Linked DNA regions of Elephas maximus indicus. The protein of the gene in region 2 interacts with the protein of the main gene of each other region in a pairwise test. Links are inferred from orthologs where the notes say so. Each region holds a gene or a part of one and is shown on either strand. Other genes may lie near its edges. The genes, in order: ARHGDIA, CDC42, MYO9A and CDC42SE1.

Region 1 (6,950 bases), on a different chromosome or scaffold from region 2:
TGGGGTACGTCCGTCTGTCCCTCCCTGTCTTCCTCCCAGCCAGGGCTCAGTCCTTCCAGTCCTTTTTGATGGTGAGGTTCCACTCCCAAGACAGGTGGTCTGTCTTGTCGTCATCCGTGAAGTGGGACTTGACAGTGTAGCTGCCCCGTGCCAGCATGCCCTTGGGTGCCTCCTCCATGGGGGTCAGAAACTCATACTCCTCTGCCCGTGGCCCGTAGCTGCCCACCATGTAGTCGGTCTTGTCAACTGCAGCCACAGGGACCCCCCCATCAGTGCTGCCCCACCTCCTTCCACCCCCTCCCACCCCACCTGTGCCGGGGTGGCTGTCTGGGGGAGGGCAAGGCACAGAAGAAACACAGGTGCACTCACTCTTAATGCCTTTCCTGTAGGTGTGCTGGATGTACTTCATGCCAGACACAATTTCTCTGTTCACCTGGGGACAGCAGCCGGTCAGCCCCTCAGCCAGCCCGGCCCTCCCTGCAGCCCCGTACCGGCAGCCCCCACCCTCCTTACCCGGAAAGAGATTTTTATCCGGTATTCCACGCCTTCCTTAAGTACGAACGACTGCTTCTTGAAGCTCTCCAGGTCTCCTGCGGACAGAGACTCTCAGAGAAGTCTGTGGTTCATCCTATACACCTCAGACCTGCATCAGCCTAGTCCCTCCATGCCAGCACATGGACACACATGCCCCGGTGCAGGCACCCCAACTCTTCAGGCTGTTCCGGGGCCAAAACCCTTCAAAGGCCACCTGGTTGCAGCTGATGTTCCCCACCACAGGGCACCAATGCTCAGGGAAAGCAACAGGGTGCCACCGGCCCCACCCAGGAATCCTGGCTGCCACGCACCTGTCAGGTCCAGTTCCAGGGGGCCTGGGGCGGTGCTGCACACCAGGGTCAGCCGTGTCACGATGACATTGGGGACGTTGGGGTCTGGGGATGGACAGAAAATCAGCGCCCCAGTCCTTGGTAACCCACGAGGGGGGCGGGACGCAGGGGAAGCAGTGGCCTCACCAGCAGAAATGGCTGCGTGGCCCAGCAGGACCTCCTTGTACTTGGTAACCCACCAGAGCAGGACAGGGGGGCAGCAGATAAAACTCAGAGGAAAGGCTGCCTGGGGGAACAGTGGGGTCCTCACCGGCAGACACGGCCACGCGGCCCAGCAGGGCCTCCTTGTACTTGCGCAGACTCTCATCGTCCTTGTCCAGCTCCTGGATCTCCTGGATGCTCTTCTGGGCCGGTGGCTTGTAGTTAACCGAGTGCTCGTCCTCCTCATTCTCAGCTGCAATCTGTGCCAGCTGCTCAGCGGTGGGCTCCTGCTCAGCCATGCTCACTCACCTCTGGGATGCCTGGGGGTCGGCAGGAGCTGTGGCAGCCTGGAGGAAAGCCTGTGCCCCCTGGGACCCTGCCACTAAAGAAGCCAGCCCTCCAGCCCCCTGCAGGCCACTCCTAAAGGAGGAAAACAGGAAGGGGGCTCCTGCTGCAGCCAACGTGTGCCTGAGGAACAGAGAGTGCCCAAGGAACAGCTTTCTGCAACTCAGAAAGAACCCACATGTATCCCAGGCCTGCCCACCTCAGGGGAGTCATGCTGGGGGGGGAGGGGGCGTGGGCAGTGCAAGGCACCACGCAGACAAGGCACCCAGGACTGAATGGGCACCACTGCCCTGCTCCCTCAGGGACCCAAGGGAAGGGGGTGAGGCTGGGGCACCTCATGACCTAGCTACTCCCAGAGCCACCCGGCAGGGCCTGAGTGGATCACCTCTAAAGACTCGGGATATTGCTGCCCAAGCCCGCTGCCATGACCCCCACCGGTCAGTGAGCTCAGCCTCCCTGTAAGGGCCACTCCTCTGACCCAGACCCTACCCCCCATAATGAAACCTTTAAGCAGAACACAGGCTCCGACTCAACCTGCTAACATCAAGCTCTTCTGGAGCTCAGCTCCACAGGGGCCTCCGCGGGACACGAGGCCAGCCCCAAGTTTCTGCCAAGGTTCCCTCCAACTGTGTGAGTTTGTGACCAAGAGTCCCCAGAAAAGTCACACGGGGCTTTCCCGCTAGGGACCCACATTCTGCTCCCACTGGAATTCTCCAACCGGGATTCCCCAACGTTTGCTGAAAACCCGCTCAATCGTTTCAAGCTCTCAGGCTTTTCCGGGAAAAGTAACCAACCCCAGAAACAGGCCTACTTCAAAACTGGGATGCACGTAGTGGCCCCAGGGTTGGGCCTCGGAGCCGCCGCAGGCCCTCCCTCGCCTCCCGCTCGCTGCCCCCCAGGATTCCTCTAGGATTTCTTGAAAGGCGCGGGCCCGGGGCGCAGCAGGGTGGCCTCAGGGCAGCTCTGCCTCGAGAGCGCGCGCCCCGCCGCCAGCACTTCCGTGCGGCCCTGCAATCTGGGCGGGCGAGGCCCGGCGGGGCGCGGCGGGGCGGGGCTGCCGCGGTGCACGAAGACCCGCGCGCCCCACCGCTGGCGCGCCCCGAGGGTCCACAGGCCCCGGGCTCTGCCAGCCGCCTCACGTGCCGGATGCGGGGCGCATCAGGCTCGGGTGCAGGCAGGTGGGTGCGCATCGGCGGGGCCGGGCAGCCAGCCGGATGGCCACAGCGAGGCCCCTCCCCGCCTCAGGCGCTTCCTCCCTGGCTCCGCGCCGCCTCCGCCCCGGACGGCACGTGCGGCCGCCGCCAGCCCGGGGTCCGCGCCCTCCGCTCCCCGGCCACCGCGCGGGCCAGGCCCGATTGTCACCGCCGCGCGCAGCGCCGTCCTCGCGCCCGGATCCCGCCGGGATCCCCAGGCCGGGCCGCAGGGCGGGGCAGGGCGGGGCTGCGGAAACAAAGCCGGCGGCGCGCGCCCCTCACCCGCCCGCGCGGCCCCATCTCGTCCCGTCCACCGCCCCGCCACCCCGCCGCCCGCGGGCACTCACCGGAGGGTTCGACCGCGCGGCCTTTCGCTCCCTCCCGCACGAAGTGACGAACGTCGCGGCGACCCACCCGCCTGCCAGCCCGTTTGTCACTTCCGGGGTCACGCGACTTCCGCTCCCAGGCGGGCTGGGCCACACCCGGGGCGCATGCGCGGGCAGGGCCGGGTCGGAGAGCGCATGCGCAAGGCGCGGGCGTGCGGGTGGCGGCCAGGAGCGCGTCGCCGCCATCTTGGGCTGGGGCTTTGCGGGGCGGTCCCGCGTGGGCGGGCGGAGGGGCTGGGCCGGAGACCGGATGCGGCTTTGTGTTTTCTTCTTTGCTTCTGATATCTGGGTGCTGTGACTCTCTTGGTTGCTTAAGCACCTCGGGGTACGGCCTCTCGGCCGCCGCGCCCTCCTTCACTTTTTGTAACGAGATGTGCAGAGACGGTGTGACCGAGCTCATGTCCACCGCCCAGACTGAGCAGCTTTGTCGATTATATTGATCTATTAACTGAACGTTTTGATACAGCTTGCTTTTAACCTGGAAGCATTTAAAATCACAGGTCATGTTATCGCCCTTCCAGGCAATTAACACGCATCTTTAAAATAAGCGTGTCCCTTCACGTACACACGGTTGCAGCATCACACTGAACCCAAAAGCCCGCCATCCACCCCAAATGTTTCTCCCAGAGGGTCGCCCTAACTGGCCTTTTGTCCTCCAACTCGGACCGTCCGCATCGCATTGCTCCTCTTGGTGCCACCTGGCAATGTCCCGTGTCCTGAGGCTTCCTACGAGCTTAAGTGAGCACTCAGCATTGGGTTAGGTTCTGAGGGAACGCTGGGGAGACGGTTCCCAGGCGTCTGGTCAGGTCCCTGCGTGTGGGCCACAGTGTCCCCACTGCCCTGCCCTGTATACTGCTCGTGCTGATGAGCAAGGCCGTGGATACCAGCATCTTCTGGAAACCACCCACACCTAGCCAAGGGCCTGAACCTTTGCTGACTGTCCACACCTTGCAGAGGCCCGAGGCTTCTCCTCTGCCAGTCTCTCCTTTCAGCCCCTTCAGGGCCGACTTCGAATCACAGGGTTCTTCAAGCCCAGCACACTGTCTTCTTCGCTGGGGGATCACTTCAGAGGCATCCCATTACCGAGCAATTCCATGATTGTCAAGTGAAGGAAGTTCCTGGCACTGATGCTCCGCCTCACCTACACCACAGGCCCTGACTCCCTCACCACATCCCAACGCTGGGTGCTGGGTCTCTTTCACTTATTGGTGTCCAAGGCTGGAAGGGCATATATTCTAAATGTGGTTGTTGTTAGGTGCCCTTGAGTTGATTTCTACTCATATCGACCTCATGTGACAGAGTAGAACTGCCCCAAAGAATTTTCTTGGCTATGTACAATCTTTATGGAGCAGATCACCAGGTCTTTTCTCCCAGTCTGTGAGTGGGTTGGAGCTCCCAACCTTGCAGTTAGCTGCTGAGTGCTTAATGGTTGCACCACCAGGGCTCCTGTCTTAGTTATATAATGCTGCAAGTAGACTAGAAGTCCAAATCCAGAGCACCACTTCCAGGGGAAGGCTTTCTCTGTCGGTTCTGGGGGAAGGTCCTTGTCATCAATCTTTCCCTGGTTTAGGAGCTTCTCAGCACAGGGGCCCCAAGTCAAAGGACGCACTCTGCTCCTGACGCTTCTTGCTTGATGGTACTGAAGCCCCTCTCTTCTCTGCTTGCTTCTCTCCTTTATATCTCAAAAGAGATGAACTCAAGATACAACGTAATCCTGTAGACTGTGTCCTGCCTCATTAACATCATACCCAACCCAGTGCCGTTGAGTCGATTCCAACTCATAAATCAACATCATAGACGTTAGGATTTACAATACATAGGATAACTACATCAGATCACAAAATGGAGGGCAACTGCGCAGTACTGGGAATCATGACACATATTTTGGGGGGACATAATTCAATCCGTAACAGCTTCTTTACATTCTGGATACAAGTCCATTGACTTTATGATTGCAGATATTTTCTGTAGCTTTTTTAAAATTATTTTTTGTTGAGAATATACACAGCAGAACATATACCAATTCAACAGTTTCTACATGTACAAATTCAGTGACATTGATTACATTCTAGTTGTGCAACCATTCTCACTTTTTTCTGAGCTGTTCCTCCTCCATTAACATAAACTCATTGCCCCCTGAGCTTCTTATCTAATCTTTCAAGTTGCTGTCATCAATTTGATCCCATAGATTAATCTTAAAAAAGCACAATGCTCAAGGCAAATGTTCTTTACTAGCTATTGTTTGGTTTTAAGATGACTTTAGGGGATATTTTTGTTTTAAGGTTTAGATAATCTCAGGGCAATCATTTCAGGGTTCATCTAGCCTCCATGGCTCCAGAAAGATTTGGATTCCATGAAAATTTGAAATTCTTCTGCATTTCCCCGCTTTAGACCAGAATTCTTCTATAGAATCATTGATTAAAATGTTCAGTAATGGCAGCAGGATACCATCCAGTTCTGGTCTCATAGCAAAGGAGGCAGTTGTTCATGGAGGCAATAAGCCGCACATTCCATTTCCTCCTTTCATTTCTGACTCTTCTTCCTGTTGCTCCAGGGGAATAGAGACCAATTGTTGAGCCTTGGATGTTTGCAAGCCTTTAAGACCCCAGGCATCGAACTAGGAGGTTGAACAGAAGCACTAAACACATTATTAGGACAGTTAACTGGGATGTTCCATGAAACCATGACTCTAAACCTCCAAATTAAGGAACCCAATTCCATGAGGTGTTCGACAGTACATAAGCAGCCTCGGCAGCTTTTTTTTTTTTTTGGTCATTGTAAATGTATCTACTACACTTTTACCAATTCAGCTTTTTACAGGTGTACAACTTATTGACAGCAACTACATAAATCTACTGTGCAACCCTACCCTTCATGAGATTTTTCTATCACCATAAACTGAAACTCAGTACAGGTAGTCCCCAACATCATTGAGTTACCATTTTTTTTTTTTAAATACATCTTATCCTTAGCAATAGGTATTACATACAATGTTGCAATGTGTACTTTGCTGACGTTATCATGCTCAGATGTTCACTCACAGATGTTCAATGTTGTAATTTGCTGTTCACAAAACTGCTGTACAGCAGGCTATGAAAACTAAAAAAAAAAAAAAAGTATTCAACTTATGTCAGAACAGACTCTTACAATGGCATTATCGGACCAGAACCCCAACCTAAGCTGGGGACTCCATAAGCAATAATTGTCTTTCATTGTCTTAATGGTGTCTTTTGAAGGGAAAATTTTTATTTTCATGAAGTCCAAATCGTCAACTTCTTCCTTCATGTTTCTTTCTTTTGGTGTCATTGCTAAGAACTCTTTTGCCTAACCTAAGGTCGTGAAGATTTTTCCCTGTATTTTCTTCTTTTATAGTTTCAGCTGTGGCATTTAGGTCTACAATCCATTTTTTTGGTTAATTTTTGTATTTGTATATGGTGTGAAGTCAGTGTTTCATCTTTGTCCCATCACCATTTGTTGAAAAGACTATAATTTCCTCCACTGAACTGTCTTGCCACTGGTGTTGAAAATTTATTCACTGTAGACATAAGGGTTTATTTCTGAACTCTCAGTTCTGCTCCATTTAGTCCACATCCTTATTCAATATCAAAACATCACGATGACTATAGCTCTATCATAAGTTTTGAAATTAGGTAGTGTAAGTTTCTAACTTCATTCTTTCCAAAATTGTTTTACCTATCCTAGGTCCAGTGATTTTCCATATAAATTTCTTAAAATCAGCTATTAATTTCTCAAAATAAAATCCCAGTGGGAATTTGATAGGGATTGCACTGACTCTACAGGACAATTTGGTAAGAACTGCTATCTTAACAATATTGAGTCTTCCAGTCAACGAACAATTCTGTGCATTTGTTTGGGTCTTCTTTAATTCAGCAGTATTTTGTAGTTTTCAGCATATACAGGTCTGGCACTTTTGTTAAATTTGTTCCTCAGTATTTTATTCATTTTGATACTGTTGTGAGTGGCATTATTTACTTAATTTC
Region 2 (7,043 bases):
GTTAGTAATTTCACTTCAATGAGCCCAAATATGGATACAGCTGATCAAGCACAAAAAGATGCCTTGGGAAACAAAGTACAAGGGCTTATGGAATACGCATAGAGGAAAAATGTCAACCCTTAGACAGCATCAAATTCATCCACCTGACAAATATTTCTTGAGACTTACTTTGTGCCTGGCACTATTCTAGATGCTAGGATATAGGAGTGACCATACCAGGCCAAAGCTCTGCCCTCATAGAGCTTACATGCTAGTGGGAGAGACTGACAACAAACACATTTAGAAAAGAAAACTGAATAAGGAATTATAATAAAAGCCTAGAATGGAGCCCTTTACAAATAGGAGGATATACAGATTCATATATGGGAAATAAGTTAACACACTATTACTCCCTGCTCCCCGAAAAGCCCTGTAGCCTACAGTTCTCATTAGGGGCTCTTCATTGCTCTCAAAAAAGACACTAAAACAATAAACAAATGCATTTAGAAATCTATCCATAAGTACAACTTGACTTTTACTTTCAAGAATGACTATCAATATTACTCATCAGACAGGCACAGCAATTGTAGTTTTCCAAATTTGACAGCTCTTGAATCAAAACATTTTATTAGCATAACCGTTTAACAAGAAATGCTCTTCCAAATAGTCCACAAAAGTGCAAATGGAAAAGCATCCTAAAAAAGAGGAACAAACCTTGAAGTTACAAAAAGACTTCAAGATTTGGTCTTGGTATTCTTTAAGAATCTCACTGATGTTTAAGCCCCGACTACTCAAAGCTGTGTATTTACCTTTAAATTCCAAAGAAAAAAGTTTCACTGAGCACAAGTGTTGGCTACTACATGAAACCATTTTAAGAGTAGACAGAGGATGTTTAAAGACATTACTGGAAGAGCTTATTTTCAATCCTCAATTATTTTGTTGTCTCAGTCTGAAAATTGTTCATTTAAACTATTCTGCTATATTTTTAAGAAGAAAGATGTGAACTGATACACAGAGACTTCTTAAAAATAGAGGACTCGAGAAATAAGGCAGCAGACCAGTGTTTCATTTTTATACTTCTAAAGCAAGATACCACTTTAACGCAAAGAAAACTATTTCAGAAGATTCATGTGCCATACCTATCTTCAACACCCACACTGGAGAAAGCGCATTTAAATCTACCACTTCTTAAAGTTTGTGTTTCTTAACAAACAATCTGTTCTCTCTACACAAATGAGAAACAATAGAAAAGTACTTGTACCAACATGAACTACCCTTTGTAACAATGCATTCACACAACTGAAATTCATCTGCTTTACAATGCTAACATTTTTCTGTGCTACCGTACTCTGTACAAGGATGGAAAATTTAGACTGTACCTCACATTCTTGGGAACAAAAACAGTGATCCCAAAAGCCTAAAAATATCACTCATTTACTTTTTTTGGTAAAAGCTCAAAACTGTTTTGAATTAAAAAACTAAAGTGCCTAGGAAGCAAAACTGATCCTCTCACTACCACACCCTTGCCACAAAGAGAGCAACTGAGGCAATCTAGGTAGGTACCGTGCATCAAACAAGTATATGGGACAAGTCAATCACTCCCGGAAAGTCATTTGGGGGCCAAAAAAATGCACCCACAAATAAGGTGGCTTCGTTCAAGTACAGTCAGAGGGGAATTTTAAAGTTATATTCTATGCAAATGGCTACAGAAAGTGTTGTCTTACGCTTTATTTTCTGTCACAACCTAATTTTGACATTTAAACCTTCCTTTAGATGCAACTGAGGTGGCCAAGAACAAGAGTAACAGGATATCAAAAAAAAAAAAAAAACCACCTCCGAATATGACGCGCTGGGGAGCGGAGCAAGGGAAGTCTCTGGGTGACCCACTGAAACTGCAAAAACGCTGTCTTACTCTGCTGAGTCCCTGACTTGGAGGAGTTAAAACTCTCACCCCTTAGACTGCGATGACGTAATCTTCCACACTGCATTTCTCTAGGATTTAAAGGGGAGGAAAAAAACAAACGAACAAAGAAAATTTCCCCTTAGTAAGAGGAATTAAGCCGACGGCCGAGCGACAGTTTCGGGAGGGGTTAGGTAACTCCCTGAAGGGGAAGCCGCAGCTGAATGAGCCAGGAGAGCGTTAGGTGCTGGAGGAGCAAACGGCAACGCTGTGGGCAACTCTACCTAGGGCAGGAAAAAGGACCCCGGCCAGAGGGCGACCGGACCCACCCTGCCCCGAGAAGCCGGCGAGCTGGGCGGCCGCGGCGGGAAGGGCGTCGCAGGCCCGGCCGGGCCACTCCGCAAACTGCCCCCTCCCCGCCCGCCACTTCCCCGCCGCGGTCGCGAGGCCGCTCCCCTCCCCCCGCCCGCCGCAAAATGTCCGCGGCGGCGCCCGGCGAAGCAGGAAGTCGAAGCCGAGCGCAGTGGGCAGCACCCAGCCTTCGAGCCCCGGCCACCGACACGTCCTCCGCCTCCAGCGCCCGCGCGCGGCTCCGTGAAGCGGGGCCCCAGGCGCCCCAGCCCGGCCGCCCGCCCTTGGGTGCCCACGGGGCCCGGCCGGAGGGGGAGGGGGACCCGGGCGGCCGGGATGGGTGTGACCCCTTCCTTCCGCCGCTGCCCGGTGACAGCCCGGCCCCGCCCGTGCCCTCGGGCCGACACCCGGAGCACCGGCCCCGCGCCTCGCAGCGGGCGCGCACCCTGCCTTCCCCGCCGCGACTCCCGCCCCTTAGTGCCCCTACAGAACGCGGACCCGCGCTCGCCCGGAGGGCGCAGCGCGAGCCGGGCACCCTCCCGCGTTCCGCGCTCCCAGCCGTCCCAGAATCCCGGAGACCACGGGTCCCCGAGAATGGGGAAAGACTGGGGGCGACGCGGTAGGGACAAGACGATGGGGGAGTCGCTCCCTCGGGGAGCCTGAGGCCCCGCACTCACCTCAGCTTCTCCGCCGGGGCGTTGGCAGCACTGCGCGGGGTCTCCTCGACTGCCGGACAGGGGCACGCACCTGACGTCACCACGCAGGAGACGCACGGCTGGGTGCCCGCGGAAGTGGGAGGGATGGAGAGGGGAGGAAGAGGCTGGGACGGCTCGAGGCGGAGCCTAAATTCCTCCTCCGCCTCCGCTGCGCTGGACCAACGCGCACGCGCAAGACCGGAATGGCTCACGTGTTTAGTATTCAACTCGGCACCTCTTTCCCCAGTGCTTGCTGTTCAAAAACTAGAAAGAATAGTTTGCAGAACACACCAATGACATTTCTTTTGATCCTTGCTACCCTGGGAAGCAAAGTATTATCGTTCCTATTTTGCAGAGAGGACAGAGGCTTCTCAGAGACTGGCAGTGATTTACCCGAGATCACACAGCAAGTGGGTGGCCTCCTGGCTCCCCAGGTCTGTATTCAGTCCGCTGTGGTGTGAGAGCTGCGTGCACCCCACTGTCCCTCGCTTCAGCCACAAAGGTCTTCTTTTGTTTCAGAGACTTCCTCCCCACCGTAGGGCTTTGCACTTGTTGGTTGACTTTCTCAGCCCTCTAACGTCCCGGTCTTCCCTATCATCCTACCCTCACCAAAACCAAAACCAAACCCAGCGCTGTCGAGTCGATTCCAACTCATAGCGACCCTATAGGACAGAGTAGAACTGCCCCATAGAGTTTCCAAAGAGCAGCCTGGTGGAATCGAACTGCTGATCCTTTGATTAGCAGCAGTAGCACTTAACCACTACGCCACCAGGGTTTCTCCTACCCTCAAAAAAAAAAAAAAAACCCTCAGAGCACCTGTTTATTATGTTGCCGCCGCTAGCTTTCAGGCTCCGGGAGAATAGGAACCTTCTCTGTCTTATTCTCACATGTTTCCCAATGTTCAGAGAAAAATAGTTTATCCTAGTAATAGTTAATATGTTGCTTACTGCCACAGCTATTTCGCCAACAAAGATAAAATTCCAATATATTTCATTTAATCATCATATTTTCTCTTGGACTTTTTAATTCCACAAAAAATAACCACATTTTTCAGTGTATACTATAAGCGTGGTGCTAACAACTTTGCATGTAGGAGTAAACAATTTCTAAGAATCACCCTGTGAAGTAAGCACTATTGTCGCCATTTTATGGATGAGTGAACTGAAACTCAGCGATGTTAAGAAACTTGCCAAAGGTCACCCAGCCAGGCAGTGGCAGAGGAGGGGCTTGGACCTAGGCTCTTGGACCCAGGAGCCTGGCTCTAGTTTGACCACTACACTATCTTACAACCCAGTAGGTTTATTATACAGAAATCAGAAGATAAACTTCAGGTCTAATCCTACCCTCATGGATACCAGCTATTAACATTTTGGTGAGTACCTTTCCAGACTTTTTTCTATGTATATGTATGTTTAAGGAACCCTGGTGGAACAATGGTTAAGCACTCAGCTGCTAACCAAAAGGTCAGTGGTTAGAAACCACCAGCCACTCTGCTGGAGAAAGATGTGGCAGCCTGCTCCTATAAAGATTACATCCTTGGAAACCCTATGGGGCAGTTCTACTCAGTCCTATACGGTCGCAATGAGTTGGAATCAACTCAAGAGCTATTGGTTTGGTTTGGTTTATATATACATTTATTTTTACCAAAATAAGATCGTGACCCGCTTTTCTCTCTCAAAACATTATGAACATCTTTCCATGTCAAATAAAGCAACATTTTTGCTAACCAAGAGGTCGACAGTTCAAATCTACCAGCCGCTCCTTGGAAACCCTATGGAGCAATTCTATTCTGTCCTGTAGGGTCCTGTGATTTGGAATCGACTCAACGGCAGTGAGTTTGGGTTTTTGTTTTTTGGTTTTTTTTTTTGGTGTTCTACTATATGGGTATTATAGAATTTATCCAATCTCCTATTGTTCAAGACTTAGGCTGCTTTTGGCTATTTTATTTTTTTTGAAAACTTGTAAATTTTTGACTACTGTAAAAATGCGTAAGCTTAGTTTCTGAAACTTGAAAAGTGGTTGTGTTTTCTCCCTCTGCAAAGCCAGTTTGCAATGACATTTCCTTCATCCCGTCTCACAATCTCATGAATGTCCCCAGACAATGCCTGCCCTTTCCATAGCAGCAATATCTTGATGGGGTGTCACCCAACTGCTCAACTTCTCTTGCCTTCATTCAGAGGACAAGGACTTTGTCTATTATGTTGTCAGATTTTTATCAGGAAGGCCCTCCCAGACCTTTTCACAGCCCCAAATGTCAGTGGCATCACAACTTGACCCCAGTCTACCCCATCCCTTGCTGCTGGCCCAGCCTGCTAGTGTCTCCTCCTCACTGCCCCACTGGCTACAGCTGCTTCATATTAACAGGAGAGGCAGCCCGTGGATATCCAGCCCTCCCTCCCCCACTCTCCGTTTGCCAGCCCACTGTCAATTTCTCCTACTTCTGGTAACAACACTTCACTTCTCCTGAGAAGTCTCTTACCCAATTCTCGATTCCTGTAACTCCAGAGGAGGTGGCTCTACCTCCAGTTGCAGGGATGGACATGTGACCCAGGTTTGGCAAATCAAAGAATTTATAGAGAGTCCTCTTGCCACAGCACTTCAGCAATGGACTTGTGACCTAATGAGAACAAATAAGATTCAATTCTGGGACTTTGATCAGAACCTTCATGTTGAATGAATATATCTGCTGAGGGCAGGATGTAATCGTGGCACGGCTGGCAGCCATCCCACTGCAAGGAGAGAGACTGTCTGAGCATAAGACCAAGACAAAAAGGGAAAAACAGAGCTGATGGATGGAGACAGTGAAACCAAGTCCCAGTGGCATTGTTTGAGTCCCTAGACTCAGCCTTGCTCCAGTTTTCAATCACATGAGCCAATAAATTCTCTCTATTGGTTAAGCCAGGGTGAGTAGGTTTCTGTCGCTTGCAACTACAAGACCCCTGATGACTCGCTTTGCCACCTCTGGCCCCTATGTCTGCCCATGTGTGGTACTTGCCACCACCCTCTATGTAGAAGACTCCCAAGTCTCTACCTCCTCCAACCCCTATTCCCACCCCTATTTCCAAATTTCCAGCTACCTAGAAGTCCTACCAACTCAAAACCCATTGCCATTGAGTTGATTCCAACTCACAGCTACCCTATAGGAAAGGGTAGAGCTGCCCCATAGGGTTTCCAAGGAGCAACTGGTGGATTCAAACTGCTGACCTTTTGGTTAGCAGCCAAGCTCTTTAACCACAGCACCACCAGGGCTCCCTGAGTTCCACTAGCAACAGTGAAATCATCCTTCAGCTCCCACCTGCTCCAGGTTCTGTGGTCCCTATATCTGCTCTTGGCCTCTGTACCCTTCTATATTCAGGATTTCCCAACCTTTGCTGCATCAGAGAAAAGGTGTATAACCCCATGCCCACAAAATTAATATCCAATTTCTAGAGGCTTGCTTTATGATTTTCTGTTTTAATCTTGATCTCAGCTCTGATTAAGTCACTCCCTGCTCAAAAACCGTCAGTGTCTTCCTCCTTGGTCTTCAAAATAAAATTCAAAGTCCTTTAGCCAGGCATTCTGGGTCCCCCATGATCTGGCACCAACTTATCTTTCCAACCTTATTCCCCTTTCCTTTCCATCACACACTTAAAGCTGCAGCTAGACTGAATTACTTTAGGATTATGCATATAGGTACCGTGATTTCTCACCTCTGTGACCATGCTCACACTGTTCCCCTAGCCTAGCACACCTCTCCCACTCATACATCCTATCTCTCAACTCCCACTTGCCTTCCCACTATGAACTGAACCTTCCGCCAACACTGATCTTGCTCTTATCTTAAATGGGCTGTGTCCTTTCACCTCTATGCCTCTGTATATTCGGTGGTTCCATTCTCTGTCTGCCAGACTTCTCTCTTTCAAGGACTAGGGTAGACCTTGGCTCTAAAGCCTTCCCTGACAACCCCAGACAGCCAGTCATTCCAGTAATATCTAAAGTATACCAGTTGCCATTGAGTTGATTCCTACTCATGGTGACCCCATGTGTATCGGCATAGAACTGTGCTCCTTAGGGTTTTCAATAGCTGAGTCTTCTAAAGTAGATCACCGGGACTTTGTTTTCAGGCACCTCTGGGTGGA
Region 3 (7,172 bases), on a different chromosome or scaffold from region 2:
TTGCCTGCCCTGCTGGTAGTCTTGCCTTTAGCTTTATTCTACCCTTCAATCCACCATCCTTACTGATGCCTAAGTAACCTTTTTAAAAATCAAAATCTGGTCATTTCAGTCCCCTGCTTTATGCCCTTCACCAAGTTATCTGATAAACATTATAACCATCATCAAAGCTAGTCACACCATGGAAGCTCAGAGGCTCAATAAAAAATTCAGTTGTTTTGATTTTTGGAGATGCAACACAAAAAGAATCATTAGGAAATTTTTTTCAAATCCCAAAAACTATTTAAACATATACCTACCATAACTGCTGACACATTTAAAAGAAAAGCACAAAGTATTATTTGTAGAAGCAAAAGTCTGAAAATAACCTCAAGTCCACCAAAATGAAATACTATCCAGCCATTAAATGAGACACTTCCACATGCACTGTTAAAAAGTGATCTCTAGGACCAATTAAAGGAACCCTGGTGGCACGGTGGTTAAGCAATCAGCTGTTAACCAAAAGGTCTGTAGTTCAAATCCACCAGCCGCTCCAAGAGAGACAGATGTGGCAGTCTGCTTCTGTAAAGATTATACCCTCGGAAACCGTATGAGGCAGTTCTACTCTGACCTACGGGGTTGCTATGAGTCAGAATCAACTTGACAGCAACAGTTTGTTTTTTTTGTAAGACCAATTATTAAGGAACCAAAGAACAGAGTGTATAGTATGCAACTGTTTGTGTATGGCATGTGCGTTTTTTAAGAATATAAAGTATAGGCTCAAAAAGGCTCATATCTGCTGGAAATACCAAGGAAGGCTACACAAGAAGCTGGAAATGGTGGTTGACTCTAAAAGGGAAACTGTACGACTAGAGAACAAAACGAAAAGAGAAACTTTTTACTACGTATTCTTTTGAACGTTTTGACTTTTATACCATGTCTAGTTATCATCTATAAATAATTTTAATACGATTTTCTCCCTCCCCAGCCCCGTCACACACACACAAAATAAAAACTAGTCACTACAAAGACCACTCTCTACTTCATTTTCATCCCTTCAAGGGAACTGCTTAAATATGCCAACCTTAAAATTATGCACGGATCACTTGATGCAACATTACATTTCCTTCTTGACAGCTCAGGAGTTCAACTTCAACAAACAATATTTTATTCAATGTTTTACTACTGGGGAGAAGGCCGCTGATAATGACATCAATGTACACGGCATGATTTTTGGACTTGCTCCAAGCACCAAATAGCAGGAATTTATTATAAAATTGACATTCAAATCTTTAGCGATTAAGGGAAAGTTGTAGGTCTTTATTTTCCCAGTAAATTCAAAAACATCAAAAAAAAGTCCCCTAGTCCCCTCCAAAACGGTGTGAAAGAGCCGTAAAAATCTCCAAGTAAATAACATATACAGAGGCACAGTTATGTCAATTAGTGTAACGTGATTTAATTCTTATAGAGGCCCCTAAAATGTCAGATCCGTGCTATCTCACAGATCTGGGCTATCACACGTTCTACAGAAGACAGATGAGGAGCAGCCTCTGTGACCTTGTAATTGTACACACACACCCCGTGCCCTGTGCTTCCCTCTCCCTCCCTCCTTCAGTTGCCAGCTCAAACCCTCCAAACGTAGGTCTCAGTGGGTATAAGCCCTACTGGCGGGGAATACACCAGGCTAAGCAAACTCCCCTCCGGACTCCCTGGCAAAGCCCTTCCAACTAAAGAAAGGATCACAACTGGGGAGAAAGAGAACAGATTTGCCGGAATCTGTGGGAGGGGGTAGGGAAGAGGCCGATGCCTGTGACAGCGTCTAAAGTGGGCCTGACTCCAGATCAACTGGGAGAAAAGACCATCACGAAATGCAGTGTCCTAAAGCCGTGATGGGTCAGGGAAGAGCCAGCGGACTTGGCAGTGAGCAGCTGTGAGGGGGGTCGGGGGGCGGCAGTAGCGACAGCTCTGCCTTGGAGGAGGGGGTCGCAGTGGGTTGAGGGGCGGCCGTGGCTGGGTCTCAGGGGAACTAGGATCGGGTCAGCTTATGGGATGTAACGGAGTCTGGCGGCTCCATTACGGATTCTAAGAGAGTCTGAGGGGGTGCTAGTGGGGTCTGCACAAGCGCCGCGGGGACTGGAGGGCCGGGACAGCGTCCGACCAATGGAAGATACGATGGGTGGGGTCGACCGGGGCCGAGGTCGAGTATCGGGGAGGCTCGGGGTAGACTCGCTCGCGGGGCGTCTCCGCTGCGGCGGGGCGGGGCGGGGCGGCCGTGCAGAAGCCAAGGAGCGAGACAGAGACGTGGGCTGGGCCGGGGCCTCTGGGCGGCTGGGGCGGGTCTTACCTCGGGCTCCGCCGCTGCGGCCACCACAGTCCCCTCCTCGTCGGCGGAAGCCGCGTCCCAGCCTCGGCCCCAGAGTCAGGCCGGAGGAGGCAGCTGAGGTGGAGGCCACACAGGGTCGGACGGTTTCGGGAGGCTGGGCCCGGCTGCTTCAGCGTCCCGGCGAGCGGCCGCCGCGCATCCCCCGCCCTGTCAGACAGACTCCGCCCGGGCTGGGCAGGCACATCCCCCGCCGCACCCCGCCCAGAGAGCACGCGTTGGACCGCCGCCTCGACTGCTGTCGGCCGCTCTGCGGGTGCCGCGGAGACCGCCTCCGCCGCCTCTCACCGTCCTGGTCGGACTTAGCAGCCTCAGCCAACCGCCACCGCCTACCTCGTCTGCTACGGCCCGCGCGGCCCCGACCCCGCGCACACGGCCCCGCCCCGCGCGACTCCTCGGCTGCAGGCGAGCAGGCGCGCGCGCACTTACCTCCCACGCCCCCTACTGAGCGCCCCGCCCCGCCCTGCCCCGCCCCCGAACGTGACGCCGCCGGAGTGTACTAGATGCGCGTGCGTGGACCCGCCCCATTTCTTCCGCCCCAGGCAGCCCCGCCCGAACTCTTCTTCCTCACCTTACGGCACAACTAGAGACTCTGCCTTAGCTTCTTCCCCTCTGCTAGAGGGCAATGTCGCAAGGTTGAGGAGGAAAACTCTGGGTTTGCGACTGTAGCTCTCGCTTTCCGGCCAATACAGAGGAGCTGAAGGCTGGTTGGGGTGGTGAGGCCCGAGGCAGGTAAGGAGCCGCCTCCTTCCTTCGGTTTGTTTGTGAGTTTGTCCCAGCAGAGGACCGCTTTGCCCCCCACACAGACTCTGGCGTATCCGTGCCCCCTCCCCATTCTGGCGCTGGGTTTTCAGCACCGCCCCTCATAGCGTCCGCCCCTTTCCACTACACACCCGCCCCTTCTCCCCGCATGGCCCCGCCCCGACCTCCGGTTTCAGGTCTTCATTGCCGTTCAGTCCTCAGACTTTGACTGAGTGCTGTCTGTTCCTTAAAATAAAAATAAATTTTATTTTAAGGCTGCAGAAAATCAGAGGAGAGTAAAATGGTCGCAGGTTTTTGAAGTGCCGTGTAGTATGGGACACGAAGAAAGAATCTGCAGAACAAAAATTATAATAGAAAAAAAGCACAGGATGCTCTCTGAACACAGAAGAAAAAAAAAAAAAAAACACTTGCCCAATGGAATCAGTTCCAACTCATGGTGACTGTATGTGTGTCAGAGTAGAACTGTGCTCCAAAATGTGTTCAATGGTTAATTCTTCGGAAGCAGATCGCCAGGCCTTTCTTTCCACGCGTCTCTGGGTGGACGCCAGCTGCTAACCTCCAGCCTTTGGGTCAGCAGCCGATCGAACAACCGTTTGCACTACCCAAGGTCTCCTGTTTCACTCTTCAGAAGACCATTAAAAGACTAGTGAGCACTAGCCGAACAAGGACATGAAAGAGGAGGCAGAAGCAGAGACAATAACGAGTGCAAAGGCCTATGACAGTATTCTCCTGGAAGAGTAAAAAGTTAAGAATGTTATATAGCTGGTGGACACCATACTGGTGTAAACTTCTCTTTAAGGAAGCATCTTTGTAAGGGATGAGAGAATATGGGCTACAAGAAATTTTTTTTAAGATAGGAGACTCTTGGGCATAAAAATGTATCATGGGTGGAGAAGTGGGCCAATTCAAGAGAGAACTCGTTGCCATAGATTCAGTTCCAAATCATAGCAACCCTGTAGGATAGAGTAGAGCTGGCCCATAGAGTTTCCAAGGAGTGGCTGGTGGCTCTTAACTACTGTGTCACCAGGGCTCCAATTTAAAGGAGAGAGAGGCTAATTTATAAAATCAACATTTTGATGCAGACCAAAAACCCAGTGCCGTGGAGTCGCTTCCGACTCATAGCGACCCTGTAAGACAGCGTAGAACTGCCCCGTAGAGTTTCCAAGAAGCGCCTGGTGGATTTGAATTGCCGACCCTTTGGTTAGCAGCCGTAGCACTTAACCACTGCACCACCAGGGTTTCCTTTTGATGCAGAGCACTAGTGAAATCTTTATCAGTAGGGTTTCAACCTTGTATGTACTTTATAATCACCTGGGAAGCTTTTTTTCTATTCAACCTAATACTGTTGCCCCATCCTAGACCAATTAAATTCTGAGGTAGGGTCCAGGCATCAGTTTTTGTTTGTTTAATGCTCCCCAGGTGACTCTAATGCTCAGGGTTGAGAACCACTAGACTAGAAAGAAGAGAAGTAGGGAAGAGCAGAAAGTTGGGGGAGTTGATGCTGTGAAATTTAAGATGGGGGTTATTTAATGAAAGAGAAAGTTAGGGATGGGATGAGAAACTTGAGCAGAGCAATAAAAGCTTTGAATAACTGCTCTGGGAAATGGGAGAAACAGCTGCTCCTGCCTTCCCTTTCAGAGTTCCATCCCTCTTACTTAGAGCTCCTTCAGTTACTGCCCTCTTCCTTTTCCTTTCCCTTCCATCTAGTATTTATCAGCAGGGAATCCACCCTTAGAGCTCAGCTTTATATATTCTCACAAAGACTAGAGCTAAGCCAGTTTATGCTATTCAAAGACCAAGACCAACTTACATACCTCTAAAGATTACTTACTACACACAGTACCTTGACAGTTTAGAATCTGTGTTCTATTAGTCATTCATTAATCTTTTAAGAAGTACCAACTATAAGTGAGGACTGAGATATAAAGATGTATAATATACAGCCCTAGTAGATTGAAAGAAAAAAAAAAGGTGATGTCAAATACACTCTGAATCACGGGAATCCCCAGGTGTGTCAGAGTAGGACTTGCTCCATAGAGGTTTCAATGGCTGATTTTTTGAAAGTAGATTGCCAGGTTTTTCTTCAGGATATCTCTTGGCGGACTCACAGCCAAGTGTCTTATTAACCATTTGCGCTACCCAGGTCACAAAGGATTGGGGAAAACAGGCCTTTAAACGAAGAAGAGCTCACTTGGCAGGCAGAAAAGAACAGTTAAGGCAAAGCCCAGAACAGTGCATGCTACTGTCTACTGTCTATTGTCAGCTACCATCAAGTAGGTCCCCGACTCATGGTGACCTCATGCACAACTGAGAGGAACGCTACCCAAACCTGCAGCATCCCCATGATTGATTGCATTTTGGGCCATGTAGTGCCTAGAGTATTTAATGGCTGGTTTTCGGAAGTAGATCGCCAGGCCTGTCTTTTCTTCCTAGTCCATCTTAATCTGGAATCTCTTCGGAAACCTCATCAGCACCATAGCAGTGTGCAGAGGACCACTGATAGACCGGTGGTGGCTGCACACGAGGTGCATTGACAGGGAATTGAACCAGGTCTTAACTAGGGTTAATCCCAAAACCTGTCTGTCTACTTCCAGATAAGATTACTGTTGTGTGGTATGGTCAGAGCATAGTATGGAGAGTAAGGGTGGGGCAGAGATGAAGCTTATAAAGTGGGGTGTGAACAGATTAAGAGAAGCCTAGAATTCCATGCCAAAAAGTTTAGGTTTTATATTGTAACCAATTAATAGATATAAATAATAGAGGTTCTTAACCTCTTTATGCCATGGACAGCTTTGGCATTGTGGCCTGTGGACCCTATCTCAGAATAATGTTTTTAAATGCAGGAAATAAAATATATAGAAATATAAAGGAAACCAATTTTATTGAAACCATTTTTATTTTCAAAATATTAAAGCAAATGTGTAAGTTATATATGTGCTACTTTATGGAGTATGTAATACCAAAAACCAAACCCACTGCTCTCGGGTCCACTCTGACTTATAGGAACCCTTTTTTTTTTTTATAGGACAGAGTAGAACTACCCCATAAAAAAAAAAAAAAAAAAAAAAAACCCCATAGGGTTTCCAAAAAGCGCCTGGTGGATTCAAACTGCCAACCTTTCGGTTAGCAGCCATTTAGCTATTAGCCACTATGCCACCAGGATTTCCCTAATACTTAGCAGCAGGTCTAATTATGTAAAAAAAAAAATTATGTAATTACAAAGTGATAATGAGCTTAAATAGTATCTTTGAGATATTTGTATCTCAACTTTAATGTGATGTGAAAATACCAGATTTCTAACACTAATAAAGATGTAGATATGGCTGATATGGTTTATTGCCTATACTTATAATTGAAGAAAATGCTAAATTTCAGCCAGAGATTATTGAAAATAAATGTAACTTTTTTCCCAGTCCAAGTTCATGAAACCCTTAATTTCTAGCCACAACCTTACCCATAAATCCCAGGTTTAAAAGAACCCTTGGTGTAAAAGTTTTAAGCAACAGCATGACAGATCAGATCTGTGTTTGAGAAAGGTACTAGAGAAGTGTTCACTTTCCATCCTCTCTGTTGAGGTAGAGTGGGAGAATATGGACTGGCTCTTTCTTCTCCTGTTCCTCCTGTACTTCAGTAACAAACAGTACTAATCTATAGCTGCCTAACAATCTGGGCCGGCAGTGGGAATGACCTTGTAGGTGTGTAAGTACATGGGAGCAGTCAAACCATTGACAATGGAGTTGATTCCGACTCACAGCAACCCGATAGGACAGAATAGAACTGGCTCATAGGGTTTCCGAGCCTGTAAATCTTAATGGCAGCAGACTGCCACGTTATTTTCCCGCAGAGCAGCTGGTGGATTTGAACCGCTGACCTTTGGGTTTTTGTTTGGCAGCCAGGCACTTTAACCATTGGGCCACCAGAACAGTACTAGGAAATAAATCAGGAAAAGTAGACTGAATCTATTTTTGTGGAAATCCTTAAATGCCAGACTGTAATTTGTATGTACTTAATTCGATAGACAATGGAGAGATGTTGAAATTCTTGGAGTAGAATA
Region 4 (7,411 bases), about 120 Mb from region 2:
GGTAGAAGGGGAGGGGCATTTAAGTGACTCTGAAGAGGAAATGGTGGTTTTTCATTTTTTCACAAACAAAGCCTCCACCCTGCCCCTTCCTTTTACCTTGTCTTGCCCTAAACACCTAGATTTTCTTTAAGAACAAGAAAGGCCTTGACCACCAACATCCTAGGAGACTAACTGCAGCACGTTGGACCTCAAAGCTTTCTACGGTAAGCAATTTCTTCCTTCAGTTCACTGCCCTAGTTCCTCCTCATTTCCCTCTACTGAGATGCAACCCCTCCCAGAAGTCAGTTAGCAGTTCCTTTATTACTTGACTTTGAGATTCTTGGCGAAGGCTGTGTACACACTGTTCATCTGTGTATCGCTGTGCTCCTGCATGTATACCTCTGTTCACAAATATGTGGCACGGCTATGTCTCCGTGTGTGTCTTACATACAAAATCTGGGTATAGACTGTAGGTATATGTGCCAGGTAGCCTCTGTTCCATGAGGAAATCTTTTTCCAGTCTCCCCACCCTCTTCACATGTCCTATCCTGTCCTGCTCTGCCTCACAGTTGATAGGGCCCCAGCCTCCTTCCTTTCTCCCCTCATGCTGTGACCTGTTTGCTCCTCCCTCCTCAGCACTTCCATCCCAAGGTTCATTAGCCAACCAGACACAAGGAACTTTCCAATAGCACCAGTGTCCAAGAAAGAAGTTCCTCCCCTTCTCACTACTGCCAGCCATCTGGGTTTCCTCTATATTCACTGGACTTTCCCAGTACAGACAACCTCAAAGATTCTAAACAGGGTGGTTTCATGAATATTACACCGTTAGCATGAATAGGAATCTCCCTTTCTGATGTCCTAGCACCCTCGACTGACCTAAGAAATGAGAGATGTTTTAGCAGTCTTGAGATTACAAAAATACAGAGACACAACTTCTAAGGGAGGGAATGACCTAGGAGTCTGGGCTTTCCCTTACTTTCCTTTTTACTACTTTAGGGGAGGAGTAACCAGACGGGGCGGAAGTGAGAATACAGCCGTCCAGAGAGGGGAGCTGTGGTCAGTGGGGAAGTCAGTCAGTCAGCCACAGGGTTTGTCATGATGGTGGTGGTGGGTGGTAAGGGTTGGGGCAGGGGCAATGGAGAAAACAATGAAGAATCAGAGGAAACCCCCCCCCCGCCCGCTCCAGACAGGCTATACTAGACTGGACTTTCCCCAACATCTCTCGCCCCCCCCCCCTTGCTCAAAGCTGAGTGGACAGACGTGGATGGTGCTGGGAGGGGAGAGGAGAAAAAAGGGGGAGGAGGAGATAGAAGGAAAGGGGCAGTGGAGGAAAACAAGGACTTTCTGTTCCTTTTCCAGGGATCTAGCCAGAGCTGGGTGGAGGAAAAGTGTGTGTGTGGGACTTGGCATGAAATGACCAATGATGATGAGACGTGACCAGGAAATTCCATTCCCCAGGACATCAGGGTCTCTGAAACTTGGGAGTGGGGTAGGAGTGTGGAGAGGACAAGGCAGGGTGACTGCGGGAGGTGAGGAGTGGGACAGAAGGCAAACAAGGCTAGAAAAGGAAGTAAGAGCTACTGGCTGCCACTCTCCTTTAAAGCAGCCAGAGAAGGGTGGGTTGAAGAAACAAAGTCTGAGCTGGTGGACTCAGGAGGACGAAGCACTCAAATCCATTGCCCACTATTTCAACCACACATTCAAATGGAAAGGGCTGGGAAAACAACAGGAGGGATCAGGATAAGGCTACATAAGGCCACATCCTGACAGCCAAGTAGTGCTGAGAACTTGGCTTCTCTGTGCCCCAAATAGGAAGAGTGAAATACAGAGCTGGGAAATACACCCCACCACCAAGGTCACACTAGGACTTAAGGGGACTCAGGCACTGGCTCCCAGCCCAAGACAGAGTTTTTCTTCTTTCTGTGTGAGAAAATGAAAATGAGGTAGCCAGGTGTTCTTTTGGAAAACTCAGGCATCCAAGGTGACCCTGGCCCCCAGGCCTCAAAGCTGTTGAGGGGGTGAGAAGGAGATGGGATGTGAGGAGGGTTCCAGGAAGGAGGGATGTACAGAGGTAGTTCCCTGGTCCGGTTCTAGCCCCAAACCGGTTTTCCCGGTTCCGCTGCCTCCTGCCCCAAGGTCTCCAACCCGCTGCCTGACAAGCCTTCACAAGAACCAACTGGAGAGAAAGAGAAGAGAATTGAGAAAATGGAGTGGGCAATTCTGGCCATAAGCCCAGGGTTGCAGCTGGTCCCTGTGGAGACCCTTGGGACAGGGAGGGGTGCTGAGCAACCCTGGAGACGGGAGGCTGAACCCCACGTTTCAGCAAAGTGACAGGCATTTGCCCCAGCATCAACCCTGCCCTTCCCCAGGAAAGGACTTTTGGAGGCTAAAGAGGAAACGGACCCAGGCTCTAAGCTCCTCCACCCCATTATATTCAGTCACATAAACTCTATTTCTGTCTTCCCCCCACCTCCCGCCATCGCTACCCAGAAATTCTCTGCTCCTCCCCACCTCGAACTTGGATTGGGACCTCTCTGTGGATCTTTCTCTTTTCCGTGGGTGCCTTAGTCTGACTTGGACCTTCCAGGACCCAGCTCCGCTTCACTGTGTCCGGCACGCGCCGCCACAGAGGTTAGTGAAGCTCAGAGAAGTCCCTTTCGCACGTCGCCCCCAACACTCCAGTCCTTTCTTTCTCTCCCACGGGCGCGGATGGGGACTGCTACCAAGCGAGGCACCCTGTTCCCACCGACCCGGCATCTCCACGGCCCCTGCCATCGTCCCTCCCCCCGCCGCATCCGGTGCGTCTCCGCCGGGCGGGTGGCCGGGCGGACGGCCGGGGCGGGCGGGCCGGGGGCACAAACTCGACGGGCTCACCTGCTCTTCTCTGGCATCGAGGCGCCCGGCTGCAGCTGGCGGGACTCCGCTCCGCGCCGCCCGGTGCGGGGTTCCCGGGCTCACTCCCCGGTGCGGTGGGGAGCCGAGGGCGGGCCGGTAGAGGTGGGGCTGGCGGAGGGCGGAAACGGCAGCTACGTGATTACGAAACCCGTGCGGCTCGGCGCCGGGCGCACAGCTCCTCCCTGGACCGACTGGGCGCTGTACCGAAGAGCGGCGGGTAGGGGGCCCGCCGAGACCGCCGAAGGACGCCCCGCCTGACACCTCGATGTGAACACCTCCATAAGGGCCTGGCACCTAAACCGGGCGCCTGGGAATCTCACGCTGCCTTTGCGCGCTGGGCACTGCGGGGCTAAACCAAGCGGAGCCCCGTATCCCCTAGACCCAACCAAGTACGGAGATTCACACAACCCCCGTCTTCTTGTGCTCTACCCAAAATGGAAAAGGGCTAGGTTTATTCACCTATTTGTGAGGGCAAGCAGCAGGGATTAGGGGGACCGGTGAATGAGTTTTTCTGATTCTCAAAAACACATCATAATCTGAAATCCTTAAATTGGGGAAGTAAAGGACACTGCCCTTTCCATTGTCTACAGAGTTAAAATCTTTTAATCCATAAACATAAGATTAAAGCAAAAGACAATTGCTCATTCACTGCACGCCAGTCAGCATGAGGGTGCTGGAAGAGATGGAGAATAATTTAATTGTACAGACCAGACCAGTAAACCTACGGAGATGCCTTAATCCTCTCCCTCCCCTCAAGTGTTCTGGAACCTGTCATTTGGAATAGCCGAGTCAGGCAGGGAGGAGGTGGGGGCGGGGAGTCCTTCCGCCCTTCTTAGGAGGGGCTGCATTGCAGGGGGAGGTTGAGCAGACAGACTCAGTCATTGAGAGCGAGAGAGTGAGAAGACAAAGCCATCAAAGCCTCTGCAGCCTTCTCTCCAGCCCAGAGCAGAACCCGGAGCCCCAGAGGCACTTCACTAGTAATTCATTGATAGCAGGTAAACTAAACTGAGGGAAGGGGAAGGGGGGGAGGGTTGCAAAGATATAAGAGCAGCTTCCTGTGGTTAGGTTGAGAACCCCAGGTGAGGATGAGCTTGGGGGACAGTTCAAGAGGAGAGAAGGGGGCGCTCTGAACAATGGGTAGTTATTTGATCACTGTTTTACATCTCTTTACTAAGATCACCTTGCTTGCTGTCCTTTATATAAATATTTCTAACCATTTACATGTAGTTATTGTCTCTCAGCATTTACCTTCTTATTTCAAGTATTTATTTTTCTGTAACTCATTGTTCTCAGTATTTTAATCTCCAGTCTAACTAATTATACTTTTGTTTTTAAGCTATTATAATTTGATTTACCAGGTTTTTGATGCATCTTTATCCCTACCATATCACTCTAGCCTCTTCTCTGTATTTCCAATTTTTTCCTTATCTTAATGTTTCATTGATGTTACTACCCTCACCCCTAAACTTATTTGTCTCTGTAGGAGGGAATTTTGGGAGGGAGGGATATGGTATAATATTTAGAGTAATCCTGACCTCCCTTTCAGCGGTCTACTCCCCATCTAAAACCTTTGCTCCAAAGAAAGAGGCAGCTTCTGGTAGGAAAGGGGGGGACGCCCTGTGTCGGAAAACTGCTTGATCCCATATTGAAATCAGTATAGCCATGGGAGCTACGTATGGGGACAGATTCTGGAAAAGTAATGTTTATTTGCAGCTCAATGAAATAGGTGGGGGAATGACATGGCTAACAGGAAGATCCAAGCTCAGGGTGAGGTACATACGATGACACACCAGAGAGCGTCCATTCCCGTCTAGCACCCCTCGCCCCTCCGCCATCCCCAGCACCATGGCAGCATGACACAGCAAGGCCCTGTTGGGTAGGCCCTGGATGTCAGTGAGGCCCACAGAGGGTGAGGGCAAGGGGTATTCAACTATGTCTATGTGGCTTAGAGCAGGTGTGTCTTTTTAATCTGTATATTCTCTCATCATGTATCTAAGAATATTAAAAAAAAAAAAAAAAGGGAGAGTTTATTAATTACCTTTGCCTAAGATATCTGGGTAATTTAAAATGAAGGATAATGAGAACATATTATTGTCCATGGTACTGTCCACGCCCTTTCAGATAAGTAAATCATGTAAAGTAGTGCCCATACCACCATGAGGTATGGGTAGAGAATATCTGGACAGAGAGGGAAAGCTAGCTGAAAAGGGACCTTTTGCAAAATGTGGGGGACTTGGAAATTAAAACACATCACATTAAATCTGAATTTCATTACTAATGTAAAGGGAATTTTAACTTTTTTAAGGTGTAGTCGGAAACCCTGGTGGTATAGTGGTTAAAAGCTACCGCTGCTAACCAAAAGGCTCGGCCATTCAAATCCACCAACCGCTCCTTGGAAACCATATGGGGCAGTTCTACCCTATTCTATAGGGCTGCTATGAGTTGGAATTGACTCAAAGGCATTGGTTTTTTTCTTTTTTTTTTTATGGTGTAGTCTTATGTTCCTGACTTGATTTTAAATGCCACATCCACTTGTCTTTCTAGAATGCATTCGGTACTCTCTGTATGTGCCTCTATATGAGTGGTATAACTAGAGATTTTAGGACTTTAGCATTTTGTAAAAATTCCCTTTAGCTTTTTTAATTGCAAGATAAGTTCTTCCAGGCACAGACAGGGACTGTTTGGGCAGTATCTATGTACAAATACACTGAAAAGTTACCAAATTGGGAATGATGAGACATGAATCTATCCAAACTGGCTGAAAGCCACTAGCTAATTTCTAAGGTGCCTTCTACTTTTAAAATTTGATAGGTTTTTTTATTTCCTCCTATGGTTCTTGTTTTTTTTTTTTTTAAGCCTATTATGTGCCCAGCATTATGCTAAGCTCACTCTGGAGGGTACTTGTAAGAGAGGGAATATAAAAGAAGTCAGCTAGCTAAGAAAATACTGGTAGTATTATAAGAAAAAATTCCCTGTGGGCAGAAGTCAATAACACTATTGACTCCTAGGGTTGGCTTCTTAGGATCGCTACGGTCCTAAACTCAAGCAGAGGTTGGTTTATTAGTACCTACAACCATTTTCTGTATCTTTCAGTGCACGTGTCTCTGCAAATGACTGGAGATGATCAGAGCTGAATATTGTAGGATGATGACATCACTTTTCCAGCATGATCCCCACCCTGCTCCAGTCCTCCCTGCATCACCCTCCTTCTAAGCAGCTTCTCTGCTGAGTAATGTTCAGTTCCCCAGGGTTTATTTTGGAACTTGAACCTGCCTAAGAAGAAAAAGAGGAATTTAGAAATTGCTTTTAATATTAAAAACATCTCAGTCTACCCACTCATCACTCCTAAAGCCCCTACACTCTTCCACAAAACCCTGTTCTAGATTAAGATGTCCTTTTTCTGCTTTAGTAATGTCATTTCATATTATATGGGGGCATCTCAGAGCCTGTTGAAGACAGCTAGCTAGGAGTCTCATTCCTTGTGAAAGCTGATGGGGTGTGTTGAAAGGAGGCCTTTTGAAACTTGAGATTTTATTTTTGGAGACAGGGCAATGTTCTTTCTGCTCCTTTGGGAACATTTTAACTAACGCTCCTTCCCTTGGCTAGTAAGCAGCAGGGTGGAGGCTGCAGGGAGATAGAATAGCCATATAATATCAGGGTGTGGGTGAGGTGAGCAGAAAAGGTGATAGAATTAATCATTAAAGCATGAAAAAGTAGCTGATTCTGTTAAAAATCTTCCCCTTTTGATCTAAACTTTGCTTTTATTACCTGGAATTTCTAATCCATTTGCACTCAGTACTATCAGATGTATTCTAGCATTGGGATCAGAGAAAAGGAATCCCATTATAGCATAGGAAAATTCTTTTAGAACCTGGGTTTTGCTCAGAAGGAGCTAGAGAGAAAAAATCTGTTAAGGCAGAACTGTGGGCTATATAGATACAAGATATTCATTGTATTAAATAGCGAGGGAAGATTAGTTAGCAGCTTTAACTGTGCAGAGCTCAGTACTTGCGAAGGTACAGAGAAAGTAGACTTGTATTTACCCTTGGAGAAATTCCAAGTCTTTTGAAGAAGATAAGACCATCACCTACACAAGACACATAATAGTGACTTCTAACCCCAAACAGATATAGTCAGGTAAACTTCTACAGCACTGCTGGGGGGACGCTGGAGGAAATAGGATAGATGGAGCTGGGAAAGTTTAAGGATGTCATCCACAAAGAAATCACTTTATAGTAGAGTTTAGAAGGCAAGAAGGAAAACAGAAATGTCATGGAAAACCTTTTCAGAGGTACCATGACCTAGGCAGGAAGAAATCCAATTTTTGTAAATATAGGAAAGATTCCTCAAGGGACTTATACAGAATCTTGAAACTAGAGTAGTATTTTAAGATGGAGAGTGGAGAGAGTTAAGTAAGACAGAGACGAATGTAACTGTAGCCGAGGATGTGTACTGCTAGGAAGAGTGGGGCCAGATTTTGGAAGGCCTTAAAAACCAGACCCAAGATCGACTTGATGCAGTAAGCAGTAAATAACTC

Evidence for each region.
Region 1: the proteins of CDC42 (region 2) and ARHGDIA interact in binary tests that used the Homo sapiens proteins (3 or more experiments, as listed by UniProt). The link is inferred for Elephas maximus indicus from reciprocal best matches to the Homo sapiens genes CDC42 and ARHGDIA.
Region 3: the proteins of CDC42 (region 2) and MYO9A interact in a two-hybrid assay, tested with the Homo sapiens proteins (3 studies listed by BioGRID and IntAct). The link is inferred for Elephas maximus indicus from reciprocal best matches to the Homo sapiens genes CDC42 and MYO9A.
Region 4: the proteins of CDC42 (region 2) and CDC42SE1 interact in binary tests that used the Homo sapiens proteins (3 or more experiments, as listed by UniProt). The link is inferred for Elephas maximus indicus from reciprocal best matches to the Homo sapiens genes CDC42 and CDC42SE1.

The regions. Positions count from the first base shown.
Region 1 is NC_064837.1:71,666,369-71,673,318, forward strand, and holds the start of ARHGDIA (rho GDP-dissociation inhibitor 1), read right to left. Parts: upstream 3,019-6,950; 5' UTR 2,911-3,018; intron 1,346-2,910; 5' UTR 1,325-1,345; coding exon 1,135-1,324; intron 930-1,134; coding exon 846-929; intron 591-845; coding exon 514-590; intron 434-513; coding exon 370-433; intron 247-369; coding exon 47-246; 3' UTR 1-46. UniProt on the Homo sapiens protein: Controls Rho proteins homeostasis. Regulates the GDP/GTP exchange reaction of the Rho proteins by inhibiting the dissociation of GDP from them, and the subsequent binding of GTP to them.
Region 2 is NC_064821.1:62,284,699-62,291,741, reverse strand, and holds the start of CDC42 (cell division control protein 42 homolog), read right to left. Parts: upstream 3,015-7,043; 5' UTR 2,908-3,014; intron 2,265-2,907; exon of another isoform or gene 1,931-2,264; intron 1,914-1,930; exon of another isoform or gene 1,813-1,913; intron 1-1,812. UniProt on the Homo sapiens protein: Plasma membrane-associated small GTPase which cycles between an active GTP-bound and an inactive GDP-bound state. In active state binds to a variety of effector proteins to regulate cellular responses. Involved in epithelial cell polarization processes.
Region 3 is NC_064831.1:62,409,684-62,416,855, forward strand, and holds the start of MYO9A (unconventional myosin-IXa), read right to left. Parts: upstream 3,012-7,172; 5' UTR 2,928-3,011; intron 2,410-2,927; exon of another isoform or gene 2,321-2,409; intron 1-2,320. UniProt on the Homo sapiens protein: Myosins are actin-based motor molecules with ATPase activity. Unconventional myosins serve in intracellular movements. Regulates Rho by stimulating it's GTPase activity in neurons.
Region 4 is NC_064821.1:185,114,743-185,122,153, forward strand, and holds the start of CDC42SE1 (CDC42 small effector protein 1), read right to left. Parts: upstream 3,002-7,411; 5' UTR 2,854-3,001; intron 2,611-2,853; exon of another isoform or gene 2,470-2,610; intron 204-2,469; exon of another isoform or gene 108-203; intron 1-107. UniProt on the Homo sapiens protein: Probably involved in the organization of the actin cytoskeleton by acting downstream of CDC42, inducing actin filament assembly. Alters CDC42-induced cell shape changes.